Linked DNA regions of Danio rerio. The protein of the gene in region 1 purifies or fractionates together with the protein of each later gene. This does not show direct contact. Links are inferred from orthologs where the notes say so. Each region holds a gene or a part of one and is shown in the gene's direction. Other genes may lie near its edges.

Region 1 (4,980 bases):
GCAGAGCTGAGCTCCAGCGAGGGGGAGCTTGAGCTCTCGCTCCTGCTTTCTTGCACTTCTTCTATGAGTGATGTCACTGGGGGTAGGGTTAGGGGTGGGGTTGGTGTACGCATTAAAACAGCTTATAGGAGGAGGAGCGAGAGCTCATGTTGAGTTGTCAAATAAATCAAGAAATTGAGCCCAAGTGGGCAAAAATTTTCTCGTGGAGCTAGTCCGTAAAAATCTGAGTCTCTCCTCTCCTCACATTTTAACTGCATGCTGTGCTGTGTATTTTTGCCATTGCACATAGTGGCCCTCGCAGTTGAAAATAGTCAACTGAGTGGAAAAAGTGAGCTACGCCACTCGCATCTTTTTACATTGTCCAATCAAATGAAAGCAGAGGCGGGGTTTCCATTGAAGTGACAGCAGTGTTTGTGTTGTGAAGACGACTACTACAAACTCTTTAAAGATTGAGGAAAGACTTGTGGTCGCAAGTATATCCATCCGCTTGTTATGTCATACTGTATTTAGGTCCAAGCCCCTACTCATTTGAATTGAGAAAATATTTGTTTATGACGACTTTTTAATCATATTACATATTAAAATTAATTCCTATAAAATCATGTGCACATCAGTCTTTTGGCTTGATGCATGACATTCCAAAATGTTAACAATTTATAAAAAAAATGATCACTTTCTGGCCATCGGATATTAGGCATGGATGTATATATTGCGATCGTGATTTTCGAAAATATTACATCGCTTTATTATTACGATTTGTTGCATCTCTCCATACAGTTTGATATAGCACTTGGACTTAAAAGCCGCTTTGCGTGATGTCACACTTGAAAAGTGGATATCAGCAACGCACAATACACAGTTGGTACAGTGGTTGCCTAGCGACATAAAAAGGCAGTGTTGTGCGCCTTCTGTTTTTAGAACGGAAAAGCGGGTTCGGTGTGATTGACTTCTTGTGGGTTAGTTTGACAAGGGTGTTTTAGGAATCATCAATCATTCAAACCTTATTTGTATATCAGCTTATTACAACCAGGAGGCTGCTCAAAGTGCTTCACAGTATTAAAAATAAAATTAAACATCAAAAGACATGAAATGGTAAGAGCACAAGTGTCAATAAAACAGCATTTTGGGTCCCACTTTATATTAAATGGCCTTAATTAATATGTAGTTACATAGGATTTAATAGTTTGTTACAATGTACTTATTGTGTAAATACATGTATTTACTGTGTACTTATGCTTGATTAAATACATGTAATTACTTCTGTAGTTAACTTCTGTAATTACATTTGTAAATACACTGTTGACCATCCCTTACACCTTAACCCAACCCTTAAACCTACCCATGCCACCAAACCTGTCCATAACCCAACCTCTATTCCAACTCTAAAGCACCACAAGGGTTCTCAAATACATTATTAACACAGTAAGTACATTGTATTTATGTTTTAGATGTAAGTACATAATAGTTAAGGACACTTAATATAAAGTGGGACCGCATTTTGTACTAACGAATATCAAAAACAAGTCTAAATAAACAGGTTTTAAATTTAGCTCTAAACCATGCCACATCTATGACGATGCGAAGTTCTAAAGGGAAGGGTATTCCACAGTTTTGGACCTGCCACTGCAAATGAACGATAACCCAATGTTTATACCTGTTCTGGGGACCTCCAGCAACAATTAACCTGCTGATCCAGGGCCATTTTCAAAATAAAAGCCACTCTCCAACACTGTTTTACAGCATCGAAGAGCCAGGATACAATTTCTAACTGACTGATATTTAAAAAAGTCATATACACAGAGGATGAATTGGGGGTGTGAATATGATGTGGTAATTTTCACTTTTGGCTAAACTATTCCTTTAAGACGTGTACTGTTTCATGTTGCGTGTGTTTGTATATTGTTACATCACTGCTTTCTATAATAGCCTGTCAAGAAAAAGAAGATCAAGAGGGAGATCAAGATCCTGGAGAACCTGCGAGGGGGTACCAACATCATTCAGCTAATGGACACAGTTAAGGACCCTGTGGTACGTCCTCCATCTCACTCCTCTTCCATTGGCCAATCAGAGCAGACAGTTTGTCCCAGGAGGAGTTAGATTTTTTCTGTCTCTGAAGATTGTGGGTGGACAGCATTTGAGACAAATTGCCTTTTTCTAGCTTACAGGCCCAGATTTGCTTTTAGGTTGGAAATGGTTGTGTAAAAACTTTTACTCACTATCCTTTAGCTAAGTGAACCACAGCTGAATGAACCACCCCAGCTGAATGAACCAACAATTACTCTGGCATATGCTTTTTTTTGTAGCGAGTGCTCCTCCAGCCGCATATAAAATTGAGTGAAATTATATAATCTAGATGGAAATAAGGCGGCACGGTTAGCACTGTCATCCCACAGCAGGGAGGTTGCTGGTTCGAGCCCCAGCTGGGCCAGTTGGAATTTCTGTGTGGAGTTTGCATGTTTTCCCTGGGTTGGTGTGGGTTTGCCCCACAGTCCAAAGACATGCGGTATAGATGAACTGAATAAACTAAATTAGCCATTTGGGCATCCACTGCGTAAAACTTATGCTGGAACAGTCGATGGTTCATTCTGTTGTGGAAATTGAGACAAAGCCGAAGGAAAAGTAATTAATGAACTGTTCATAACAAACTATCCATAATGATTTTTAAAGCGTTTTTGGACCCAATGAGATCTAGTGAAAATGAGCGAGAATCATAGCAAAGATTATTGAAAAATGAGATGCAGCCAGTCGTGATGCTTTTGTACTCAATGTGCTGCTGTTTTATTCCTGATTGCGATCACAATGAATGCTTGATGGTGTCAGTTAATGCTTTCCATTGTTGATTTGATGGACTTCCCTTTTTCTGATTGTTCATCTCTTTCTCTCTCTCTATCTGTTGGTTTCCTTTGAATCATTCTACAGTCTCGAACGCCTGCGCTTGTCTTTGAATGCATCAATAACACAGATTTTAAGGTATTTTTTTATCTATCTGTCTGTCTGTCTGTCTGTCTGTCTGTCTGTCTGTCTATCTATCTATCTATCTATCCATCTATCCATCCATCTATCCGTCTATCTATCTATCTATCTATCTATCTATCTGTCTGTCTGTCTGTCTGTCTGTCTGTCTGTCTGTCTGTCTGTCTGTCTGTCTGTCTGTCTGTCTGTCTGTCTGTCTGTCTGTCTATCATCGTGTGTTTGTCTCTGTCTGTGTCTATCTGTCTATCTATCATTGTCTGTCTGTCTGTCTCTGTTTATCTATCTATATATCTGTCTATCTATCATTGTATGTCTGTCTGTCTGTCTGTCTGTCTGTCTGTCTGTCTGTCTATCTATCTATCTATCTATCTATCTATCTATCTATCATCTATCTATCTATCATCTATCTATCTGTCTGTCTATCTGTCTGTCTGTCTGTCTCTGTTTATCTATCTATCTGTCTATCTATAATTGTCTGTCTGTCTGTCTGTCTGTCTGTCTGTCTATCTATCTATCTATCATCGTCTGTCTGTCTGTCTGTCTATCTATCTATCTATCTATCTGTCTGTCTGTCTGTCTGTCTGTCTGTCTGTCTATCATCGTCTGTCTGTCTCTGTCTGTCTATCTATCTATCTATCTATCTATCTTGCTATCTATCTATCTGTCTGTCTATCTGTCTGTCTGTCTGTCTGTCTCTGTTTATCTATCTATCTGTCTATCTATAATTGTCTGTCTGTCTGTCTGTCTGTCTGTCTATCTATCTATCTATCTATCTATCTATCTATCTATCATCGTCTGTCTGTCTATCTATCTGTCTGTCTGTCTGTCTGTCTGTCTGTCTGTCTATCATCGTCTGTCTGTCTCTGTCTGTCTATCTATCTATCTATCTATCTATCTATCTATCTATCTATCTATCTATCTATCTATCTGTCTGTCTGTCTGTCTGTCTGTCTGTCTGTCTGTCTGTCTGTCTGTCTGTCTGTCTGTCTATCATCTATCTATCTGTCTGTCTGTCTGTCTGTCTATCCATCTATCTATCTATCTATGTTGAATTATTTTGAAATGGATGTTAATACCAACCAATAAGAATCCAAGAAACTTGTTTAATTATTATTTAGCAGCTCATTTAAATTGAATCCTTTGTTACGTACCTAATTTCTTTCCTTTTCTTTCTGTTTAGGAGCTGTATCAGAAATTAACGGATTATGATATACGTTTTTACATGTATGAACTACTAAAGGTAAGGCCACAGTCTTGTGCTTCAGTGGCGTGATTTTTCAAGGCTTTCACTTTGTTGTTAATGTTTGTTTATTCTTTGACTGACAGGCTCTGGACTACTGCCACAGTATGGGGATCATGCACCGCGATGTCAAACCCCACAATGTTATGATCGATCACCAGTTAAGAAAGGTAATGTTGTGGTTTTGGATCTTTTTCAACTCTGAACTGGATTTAGGACATTAGAGTACATTTCAGAGAGATTTTGAGTAAAAAAAGATTCCTTCAATGTTAATTCTGGATTTATTGCGCTTACTCACCAGCAGAGGGCATGAGAGTACCGGTTTCTGTTTGGAAGTGAGGTGGTGTTTCAGATGTCAATTTGCATTGTCATGTTTGTGTGTGTGTGTGTGTGTGTTTGATGCAGCTGAGGTTGATAGACTGGGGTCTTGCTGAGTTTTATCACCCTGCGCAAGAGTACAATGTCAGAGTGGCTTCACGCTATTTCAAGGGTCCAGAACTGTTGGTGGACTACCAGGTAATATGTTCTTTGTAAATTAAGCACATTAATCGTGTTGGATTGTTTTGCACATTTTAGATTTTAACACAAACCTGGATTGAAAACACTTTCTGCACACTTTACCACTTTACTCAAATTGAGATTAAATGCTTTGTTACATGCACACTTCATCTGAATCCGTATTAAACACAGTAATAAAGAAAGTAACTTTTACATTCTGCCCAAATCCAGATTAGAAATATCAAGTTACTTTTATGCACTTTCCAAAT
Region 2 (4,730 bases), on another chromosome or scaffold:
TTTATCATTAGCAATAGGTGATGGTGATTATCTCCTACTAGAGTAGAGCAGAGAAAGAAAAGAAATACAGAACAGAAACAATTGCGTCCTGGAACGAAACGACCTCTTTAAATGAAGTTTAAAGTGAGCAGTGTCATTTCCAAAACTTTGCATTTTACAAATTGCTGATCACTTGGTCAGAAGGAATGCTCATAACCTAACCAGCATTATTGGATTTGTGACATGAGACACCAAACACTGTTTAAATGGTCAGTAGCAGCCACTGCTGTATCATTAGTTTGCACGACTAAATCATTTTATACCACTGAAAGAAAAAACACCTGAAATGGTAGTATCCTTGTCATTAGAAGAGGTCCAGAGGTTCCTTACATTTGGTATCAGAGATGCCGAACTGACCAAGAATAAATAACAATGACTTCAATGCGCAAATTTAGATATCCACATTAATTGGTATTAAACTTCAGTGTAAATCCAAAATGTAAATGTAAAAGCTGCGCCAAACAATACCCTTCTCTGCAATAGAAAACTGTCTTTTGAGTTCAGAGTTGTAGCTTTGTTTCTCTATTCTTGAAAACTGTAATCAAGAGCTGTTTTCATCCAAAACTGCAAATTAACTTTTTGCGCAAAACTGGATTGTCGCATAAAAGACGTCCAAATAAAGCAGCGTTTCCATCCAACAAGTCAAAGCGAACAAATTACACACTTCCTGATTAACTGCTGCCAAATATCAACAGTAAAAACTAAATTTGCTGCAGTTGGAGAAGCTGCATCAATCTTTTCTTGATCTAATGACTTTCGCCTAAGAAGACAATTCTCACATGCAGTGAACGCGGGGTGGCGTTTTAAGGTGTCAGACGCGGAGCACAGACACTCTTGATTCTGGAGATCATTAATAATATAATAACACTGATAATTAAACGGTAAGACATTTTAGAATGACCAAAACTAAATTTCAAATGTTTTACAGTGTGCTCAGCCTGCTGGTTTTTATCACATGATAATCACATGATTTAGATTTTTATCACATGTTCTCTTATAACAAAATCACATGACCTTTTTAAATTGTGCATACTGTAATTTGTGTAGTAAAAGCGTTTCCTCTGTAGTTTATGCATATCTTGCATAATGTTTATCCTTCTCAGTTATGCGCATAATTTTTTTATGCACATTTTCAAAATTCATGCGCATCATGACGTTTCCATCAACCGTTTTTTACTGTTATTATATCAACCGTTATTTTGCATATGCGCATAAAAATAGGTGGATGGAAACATAGCTAATGACTTCATACATTGTACCCCTAATACATGTTAATTCTTCTCTCCAATGCAGTTTGACGAGAGTGTGAGGATTTGGGATGTTAAAACGGGGAAATGTCTGAAGACACTTCCAGCACACTCAGACCCTGTCTCTGCGGTTAGTGTTTTTTTTTTTTTTTACTTCATCTGGATGATTCAATTCACAATTGTGTACAACTGACATCAATTTAAGTGATTTCTTTGAATTATAATTGTGTATTTGTTTTTTTTTTGTTTGTTTGTTTTTTTAGGTTCATTTCAATAGAGATGGCTCATTGATTGTGTCCAGCAGTTATGATGGACTTTGGTGAGTGAACTTTGACTATGAAAAAAAATCAAGAGTGAAAAAATATTTCAGAAATAAAAAGCTAACAATCATACCCACTTTCTGACTTAAACAGTCGTATCTGGGACACAGCATCAGGCCAGTGCCTTAAAACACTTATTGGTAAGTTGATCAGCATTTAAAATGACTACAAACAAGGTTAGATTTGTTGTGTAAATGGCAATCATTTGTGTTTATCTGTTCTTATCTGATATGCATAAATAACTTTAGGCTAATAAGAAACTAGTATAACACAGTTAATTTTAAGGTACGCTAAGTAACAAGAAAGACATTAAAAGAGGCATAAACAATCATTAAAATGTATACATTTCCAATTTTTCATCAGATGACGACAACCCACCAGTGTCATTTGTGAAGTTCTCCCCCAATGGCAAGTACATCCTGGCTGCCACTCTGGACAAGTAAGTCAAGGACATTTTGATATTTTCAACATTTAATTGTATTATTTAAAAAGAAGAAAACTTTAAAGTAAATTCTATTAATCCACATGCATTCCCTTCATATTTTAGTACTTTGAAGCTTTGGGACTACAGCAAAGGAAAGGTAAGTGTTTCTCAGTTTGTTTAGTGCATTGTTTTAATAATAAAAAAGTTCTCAATCGGTGTATAACAATAATATTTTCTTTTTTTTTAGTGTCTGAAAACTTACACCGGTCATAAAAACGAGAAGTACTGCATATTTGCTAATTTCTCTGTCACTGGTGGAAAGGTTTGTTGGCTTTACACTTTTCTAATCCATTGCCTCTCTTGACATGCTAAAACTTTTCGACATGAGCATGTGAACTGAAATGGTGATAAAGGCTTGCTCTTTATTTTTAGTGGATTGTCTCCGGCTCAGAAGATAACATGGTCTATATCTGGAACCTTCAGACCAAGGAGATTGTACAGAAACTACAGGGCCACACAGGTAAGAGCAAGTTCAGTGGATGTTAGCAAAGCATTTTTACCTAGAGCTTAATGCACTTCCTGCTAATAGTTCCAGGTAAGCAGTGCTACGTTACAAATTTGTTGTGTTTGAGTGATATTTTTATTGATGTGCAATAATGTCAAAAAAGGTTTGTTTAAATGATTCACGATTTTCATTTTAGATTTTTTTTTTTTGTAGTTTTTAATTGACCAATGTTAAATGTAACTACAACATAATTCAATTTAATCCAAATGCAGCACATATGTAGAGATCGAAATGGTTTAAACGTGTATTGCCGGATTGCTATAATGCTGTGCTCACACTGTGTTCACCATGCTGTGTGCGATTTGGGGAAAATATCTAATTGTGAAGTAGTAGTCAAGTTCTGGGCGGGGGAAATTAGATAATACATATATATTTCATATCGCAGCTTCTTGCGACTTAGCTAATTGTAACGTTTAAAATCGCGATTCAATTTAGATTAATCGCACAACCCTAGTTCACACCAGATGCGGCATGAGCGAATAAATGGTGCGTGAATATTTGAGTTTACTTGCGTCATTCATGTGTCAAATTCACTAGATAACATTCCATTTAAAATTACACTTTTCCAGCAGTTCCTTGCATCCAGTATTTGTCACAGGAGGCATGCATGAAATGTTCCTGAATGAAAGTAAAATTGCCAAACTGCAGTTAAAGTTGAAAATTATTAATTTGGCTAATAATTTGATTACTGATGTCCATGTAAACATAGTCACTGTCTTTCTCCCCTGCGTCTTTTTTTGTTTTGCCTCTGTGAAAATCAGCGCTTGCTATCCTGTCGCAAAATGCGGCAAAAATTCTATATGACGGTAATAGTTTGATTGTGGTGTTTACATTCGGAGAGCAGCATTTACATCGGATCTTTCAGTCTGTAATATTCTATTGATATTAACTAACTGTAAACTTAGTAACTAAATCATTTTGACTAAGGTATGTCTCTAAAAACTGAAAGAGTACAAATCTGTAGAGACAAGACAATCAACACCAACTGGAGCCGCATCTTTTTTAAAAGGATACAAGTGGCAAATCCAGATTTCCCCATTTCCTTATGCGAAAAGCTTTCAGGTAAAAAATGTTCCTTACAAATATATTTCTGTCGCATGAATTGTAAACCACAAGTGAGTCCAGCTGCACTCTCATAGCACGAAATTGAAACAAAACCTTTGTTGCAGCACATTTCTAAAAAAAAGCACTGACAACCCATGTCTCCAAACAATTCTTGTTTTTCCATTTTTTTGGCAACACAACGTGGTGTCTCTCTGCAGTCTGAACATTCTATTAGGTAAAAACAGTCTTCGAAGCTATCGTGCATATTAATTAAGTTGCACCTCATTCACAATAGAGCGCGCTAATTGGTTTGAACCAAGTCTTTCTCATGAATTAATGCTGCACATTCGGACTCGGATGTATTTGCCAGTACAGACATCCACTCTCCATGCTGGATTACACATAAGGATCTAATTGCCATGACGTAGCTTCAAAAATTAGTTTCAAATCTGAGAAAACAAATTTGCTTAAAATAAAGCAAAAACAACCATCACTTTTTTTTTGTGAAATATGTGTCTATAGTGTTTATTAGAACACATATATGACTGTCAACATAACAAAAAATGTGTTTTGGTGTTTCATGAACCTTTAACTTTAAGGTCCAATTCTACCCTTTAGCCCTTTCTATTACTCAAGTCTCTTTAGCTTGAAGGCATAGGGATAAGGGCAAGGGGTAGATGCCCCTTCGAATGGAAATTTTTTTTAGGACCAAACTCGAAACTAAGGGGAAGAAAATTTCCCAGAATACACCAGCCACAACGGCAGTATAGCTGCACCCGGAAGTAAAGAGATCCACAAATTAGTATTAGTAATTTATTGTCGTTATTTTTAACTTTTACAACAAACAAGCACAGGTTTTAATATATTCATAACTGTGTTTTTTTTCTCTCTCTTTTTTTTAAAAGCTAAAATAAAAAACGCTAAATTTCGCTATCTATAATAACTCCTGTATAGCAGTCCCACAACATTCTGACACTCGAATACCCTGTCAGAAGAGTCTAGTGGCTAGGAATGACCGTTTTACAGTGTCTGCTATAATGTTAATGTTGTTTTTGGTGTGTTTACATTGATGAACATGGCCAGGGTGTAAA
Region 3 (4,283 bases), on another chromosome or scaffold:
TTGCCTGCCCCAAGTTCCTGTCGCCGGTAGTTCCAAACTATGAAAACGTTCATCCAAATTACCACAAAGAGCCATTCCAGCAGCAGCTAAAGGTGTTTGCAGAGGAGGTCCAGCAGCAGGCGCAGCTCTCCACCATCCGCAGGTACAGCAGTTCTCTGACGTCTTCTGAGGAACAATCTAATCAGTGTTTTTCTCCCAGCAAGGCATTATCAGATATTCATAAGGACACTGTGGATATTGTAATACTTGAATGTTAAATTTAGGTTTTTTCTTATGTTATTGAATTATATTTTCCTATTTTTGGTTGTGTGGTAAAAAATGTAATCTATGTTTAGGGATTTTTTTAAATTTAACAAAGTAATAATTTTGAGTATTTTTGCACTATTTTTTGGCCAGTTATGGATGAATGAATGACATTCTCTTCTGTAATTTATGCTACTTTTTTCTTTCCGCTACTATTTTTGTTGGCAAAACAATTGATTTTTAGTGATAGATATTAAGGCTGCACAATATATCTCAAAATTATCGTTATTGCTCGTTATGACAAAATCATTGTGGTATTTGAGTATATGTATTGCAGACATGTGTAATAAATCATATTTTTTTTATTATGCATTGTTTGTTTATCTAAATTTTACTAATCAATAAAGATGGGGCCTTGCTTTCTTTATCCCCGCCTCAGTAGTTGCTGTTCTGCTATTGGCTGGAGTGACCCAAAGCCAAACCCAGAGCTGAAAATAAACACTTGTAAAGACAACAGCCAATCAGAGTCAGGATATCTGCCGAGGTTTTCACTCATTCATAGTGATTTAAAGCCTAAATGTTTCCACCTTGACAGTTTTTTTTTAGTCTGAATCAGAAGTTATTTGTTTTCTAGCTGGTTATTTTAATATGAAATAAAGTTTTTTAAGAACATAGCTAATAAAAATTGCATTTTCTAGAGAAATATTATATAATATTGCTATCACAATAGTCTAGTTTTATCAGTAATGTGGGGCCCTAATAGAGGAGTTGTTTTATTATTGTTGACTATTTATTACACATCCCACTTCCTACATGCAAAACTCTTGTCAAACTTTTAAAAGTTTAAATATGTCATTCTAGAGCATTTTGAATTTACATAGAAACAAGCATTTCCCCAGCAGTGTTTATTAGCACATCTCTGAATTGTTTCTCCATCTGTCCATCAGTTTCCTCAAGCTCTACACCACCATGCCTGTGGCCAAACTGGCCGGATTCCTGGACATGTCAGAGCAGGAGTTTCGCATTCAGCTGCTGGTCTTCAAGCACAAGATGAAGAACCTGGTGTGGACCAGCGGCATCTCTGCTCTGGACGGAGAGTTTCAGTCCGCATCTGAGGTCGACTTCTACATCGACAAGGTCTGTGGACTCACAGTTTTATTTGAGAAACTCAATGCTATTAGCTTGCCAATCTTGTACAAAAAGTACCACATTCAGTATAACTTCACAACAAACTTTCATAACATTAGTGATTAGTAACAACGCACTGGTTTTTACAAGCATTTATTAATTTGATTTAAAGGGTACATATTATGCCCCTTTTTACAGATGTAAAATAAACGTTGATGTCCCTAGAGTGTGTATGTGAAGTTTCAGCTCAAACTAGCAAACAAATAATGTTTTATATCCATTTGAAACTGCCACTTTAGACTTTAATCCTAATTGTACTGTTTTGGTGACTGTTGCTTTAAATTCATATAATATTGTGCTATTTTAAAAAAAGCACAGAGCTACTAATGCTTGCATGTCAGCATAGCGGCAGATTCAAAAACGAGACTAACGTCCTATGCTAATGAGGGAGAGATCATCACTAATGTTTGGGGCTTTTCCTCTCTAATGACATGTACAAAGGGAGAATGTCAAAGTGTTTCTGCAGACTGTTTTTATCAAGTGTCATTATAAGAAATACAATTATCAAGAAAAATGTAAAAGAACATTGACTGTATTTATACACTACTGTTTTGAAACCCTTTATAAAAGTGATTTTTGCATAAAAGGTCCCCTTTAATGGTAAAATTTAATACTGCATTAATAAAATCCAGAGTTGTGTTAATGCACGACTAAACATGAACATTATTAACACGAACATGGATTAATTAATGCTGTAAAAATATTTATTTCTAGCTCTGTTCACATTGTTGTATTTTTTACTTTATCAATGGAAAAAATCTCTTGTATGCTGCTTTTTATAAAAATAAATAAATCAAGATAGATGCATATATAACATTTATTAAGTGTAATGCATAATTTCTTACTTTCAAATGTTACGATTTTTTTTGAGTTTCATGTTGCTGTATCTAATGACCTGTAAATATCAAACTGCTGACACAGAAATATTATCAAATGTTATTATTTTGGACGGAAGTGTGTGTTTTGTTTCTGCTTGTGCTCTGATTTTCTTCACTGATGAGATGTGAGTTCAGTCAGTAAGAACATGATTTGTTTTCCTCAGGATATGATCCATATTGCCGACACCAAGGTTGCTCGTCGCTATGGAGATTTCTTTATCCGACAGATCCACAAGTTTGAGGAGGTACATCTTCTTGAATTTTTAATAGTTATGATTTGTCATATACTTTAATACAGCATATTGTTCTATTACTGTTTAACTATAAATTTTATAAAAATAATGTAAAATAATGCTTGGACGTTTATATCGTCTTGTTTCTTCAGCTGAACCGAACGCTGAAGAAGATGCCTCTGAACACAGGCGCCTCTATTTCCAGCAGCTCCACGTCACGAGCCACATAACGAAGGTGACTCCTGAACAACTGAGATCCACCAATTACAGGCCAGCCCAGACTTCTCAACCAATTACAAGGCAGCACTCATAGTCTTGAACCAGTCGAAACGATATTATATTGCTTGCTCTTCTTTGTCAAAATTGAGCAAAGCTTTCTCTCAAGCTGTTTTCTAAGTCAATAAAGTGAGATGTGGCTGAAGTGTAATGTGGAGTAGTTTCTCTTTGACTGCAATTAAATCTAGTAATCCTGAAAAAGTTTGGAAAAGAATCGTGCTCAGATTTCATAAACGAGAGTAAGCATCTGTTAACAAACTTTAGGCCTGTCAGTGGCTTGAGAGAGTTCAGTCCAGACATGTTTTTACTTCCCATGAAACTGCTGTATATGCATTATTCAAGATGCATTTCATTGCTTTTAACAGTTTTACAATATTGTACAAGTATCAATTATTTATGCCAACAGGACTTATCGTTAGCCCTTTTAACTCATGCAGACCTTTCCAGAAAATTACCGGCAATTCGATTGAACAGGCCCTTTTTGAAAATACTGATAAATTCGTCCAAAACAAGAATGGAAATTTAGTTGGTTTTGTCAAATTGATGAAAGGTTTTCCACTTAAATAAAAAAATAATCTAGATCAAGTAAAATGACTTTTGCATGCTAAAAAGTACTTAAAGCAAATATATATTTTCCCAATAACAAAATTGTGGCTGTTGAAATTGCTGAGTGGCTAGTGACTTTGAAAAATGATTAGCCATAGTGGCTGATTTTTTTTTTTTTTTTTTTTACTCTACAAATATTATTTTTATTATTTATGTGGCATCTTATTAGCATAACTGCCACAAGGTGGCAGAGTATCTTTATATATAATTTTTATTTCCATTAATTTAGAAAAATTTTGGGCAACGTATAACAAGATTAATAGTATATGGTATCCTTATGGTAGAAGGATTTTTTCACAGTGAATACATTAACATACATCAGTAATGTAATTATTTGCCTTAATCTAAATAAGGCAACAATATGATTAAGGTGTTTACATGAGTTGCTATTTGAATGTTCCTTTCATGATCCTGTTTTATGTTACAGCGCATAATTCGATTAACGTCATCACTGTGCTATCCACATTTCATGTCATGTTACGGTGTTACGTTTTTAATTAAAAAAAAGCTTTTTACTGCTTTTACTGTTTGGCACTTTTATTCAGGAACATTTCATTCATGTTCCCCCATGACAAACGAGATATTGGATGTGAGTATGAACTGCTGGAGGAGGATTGTTTTAATGGAATTTAATACCGCACGCTAGAGATCCGCTATAATCTGCACATCTCTGATAGTAAAATTATATGTTTTCATAAACGCTTTTAAATGAATATTTATTTATAAAAACAAAAGTTTGTCTTTAGACAAAATTTCCTTAATTTTCAAATAAATACAGAAAGAAAAATAAGACTTTTAGCTTTTACAGACACAGGAACAAGATAACAAAAAGGGTGCCACTTTAGCCTAAACGGCAGCT

What was found. Proteins that work in one complex are often made in the same cells at the same time.
Region 2: the proteins of csnk2a2b (region 1) and wdr5 purify together in Homo sapiens (affinity purification with mass spectrometry; 3 studies listed by BioGRID and IntAct, with this or other methods). This does not show direct contact. The link is inferred for Danio rerio from reciprocal best matches to the Homo sapiens genes CSNK2A2 and WDR5.
Region 3: the proteins of csnk2a2b (region 1) and eif3s6ip purify together in Homo sapiens (affinity purification with mass spectrometry; 3 studies listed by BioGRID and IntAct, with this or other methods). This does not show direct contact. The link is inferred for Danio rerio from reciprocal best matches to the Homo sapiens genes CSNK2A2 and EIF3L.

What each region holds. Positions count from the first base shown.
Region 1 is NC_133200.1:14,579,744-14,584,723, reverse strand, and holds part of csnk2a2b (casein kinase II subunit alpha'), read left to right. Parts: intron 1-1,926; coding exon 1,927-2,028; intron 2,029-2,919; coding exon 2,920-2,970; intron 2,971-4,153; coding exon 4,154-4,213; intron 4,214-4,299; coding exon 4,300-4,383; intron 4,384-4,618; coding exon 4,619-4,729; intron 4,730-4,980.
Region 2 is NC_133196.1:19,690,983-19,695,712, forward strand, and holds part of wdr5 (WD repeat-containing protein 5), read left to right. Parts: intron 1-1,332; coding exon 1,333-1,416; intron 1,417-1,549; coding exon 1,550-1,605; intron 1,606-1,699; coding exon 1,700-1,746; intron 1,747-1,969; coding exon 1,970-2,045; intron 2,046-2,153; coding exon 2,154-2,187; intron 2,188-2,277; coding exon 2,278-2,352; intron 2,353-2,462; coding exon 2,463-2,550; intron 2,551-4,730.
Region 3 is NC_133188.1:46,818,319-46,822,601, reverse strand, and holds the end of eif3s6ip (eukaryotic translation initiation factor 3 subunit L), read left to right. Parts: coding exon 1-142; intron 143-1,190; coding exon 1,191-1,380; intron 1,381-2,473; coding exon 2,474-2,554; intron 2,555-2,694; coding exon 2,695-2,772; 3' UTR 2,773-2,963; downstream 2,964-4,283. UniProt on the Homo sapiens protein: Component of the eukaryotic translation initiation factor 3 (eIF-3) complex, which is required for several steps in the initiation of protein synthesis.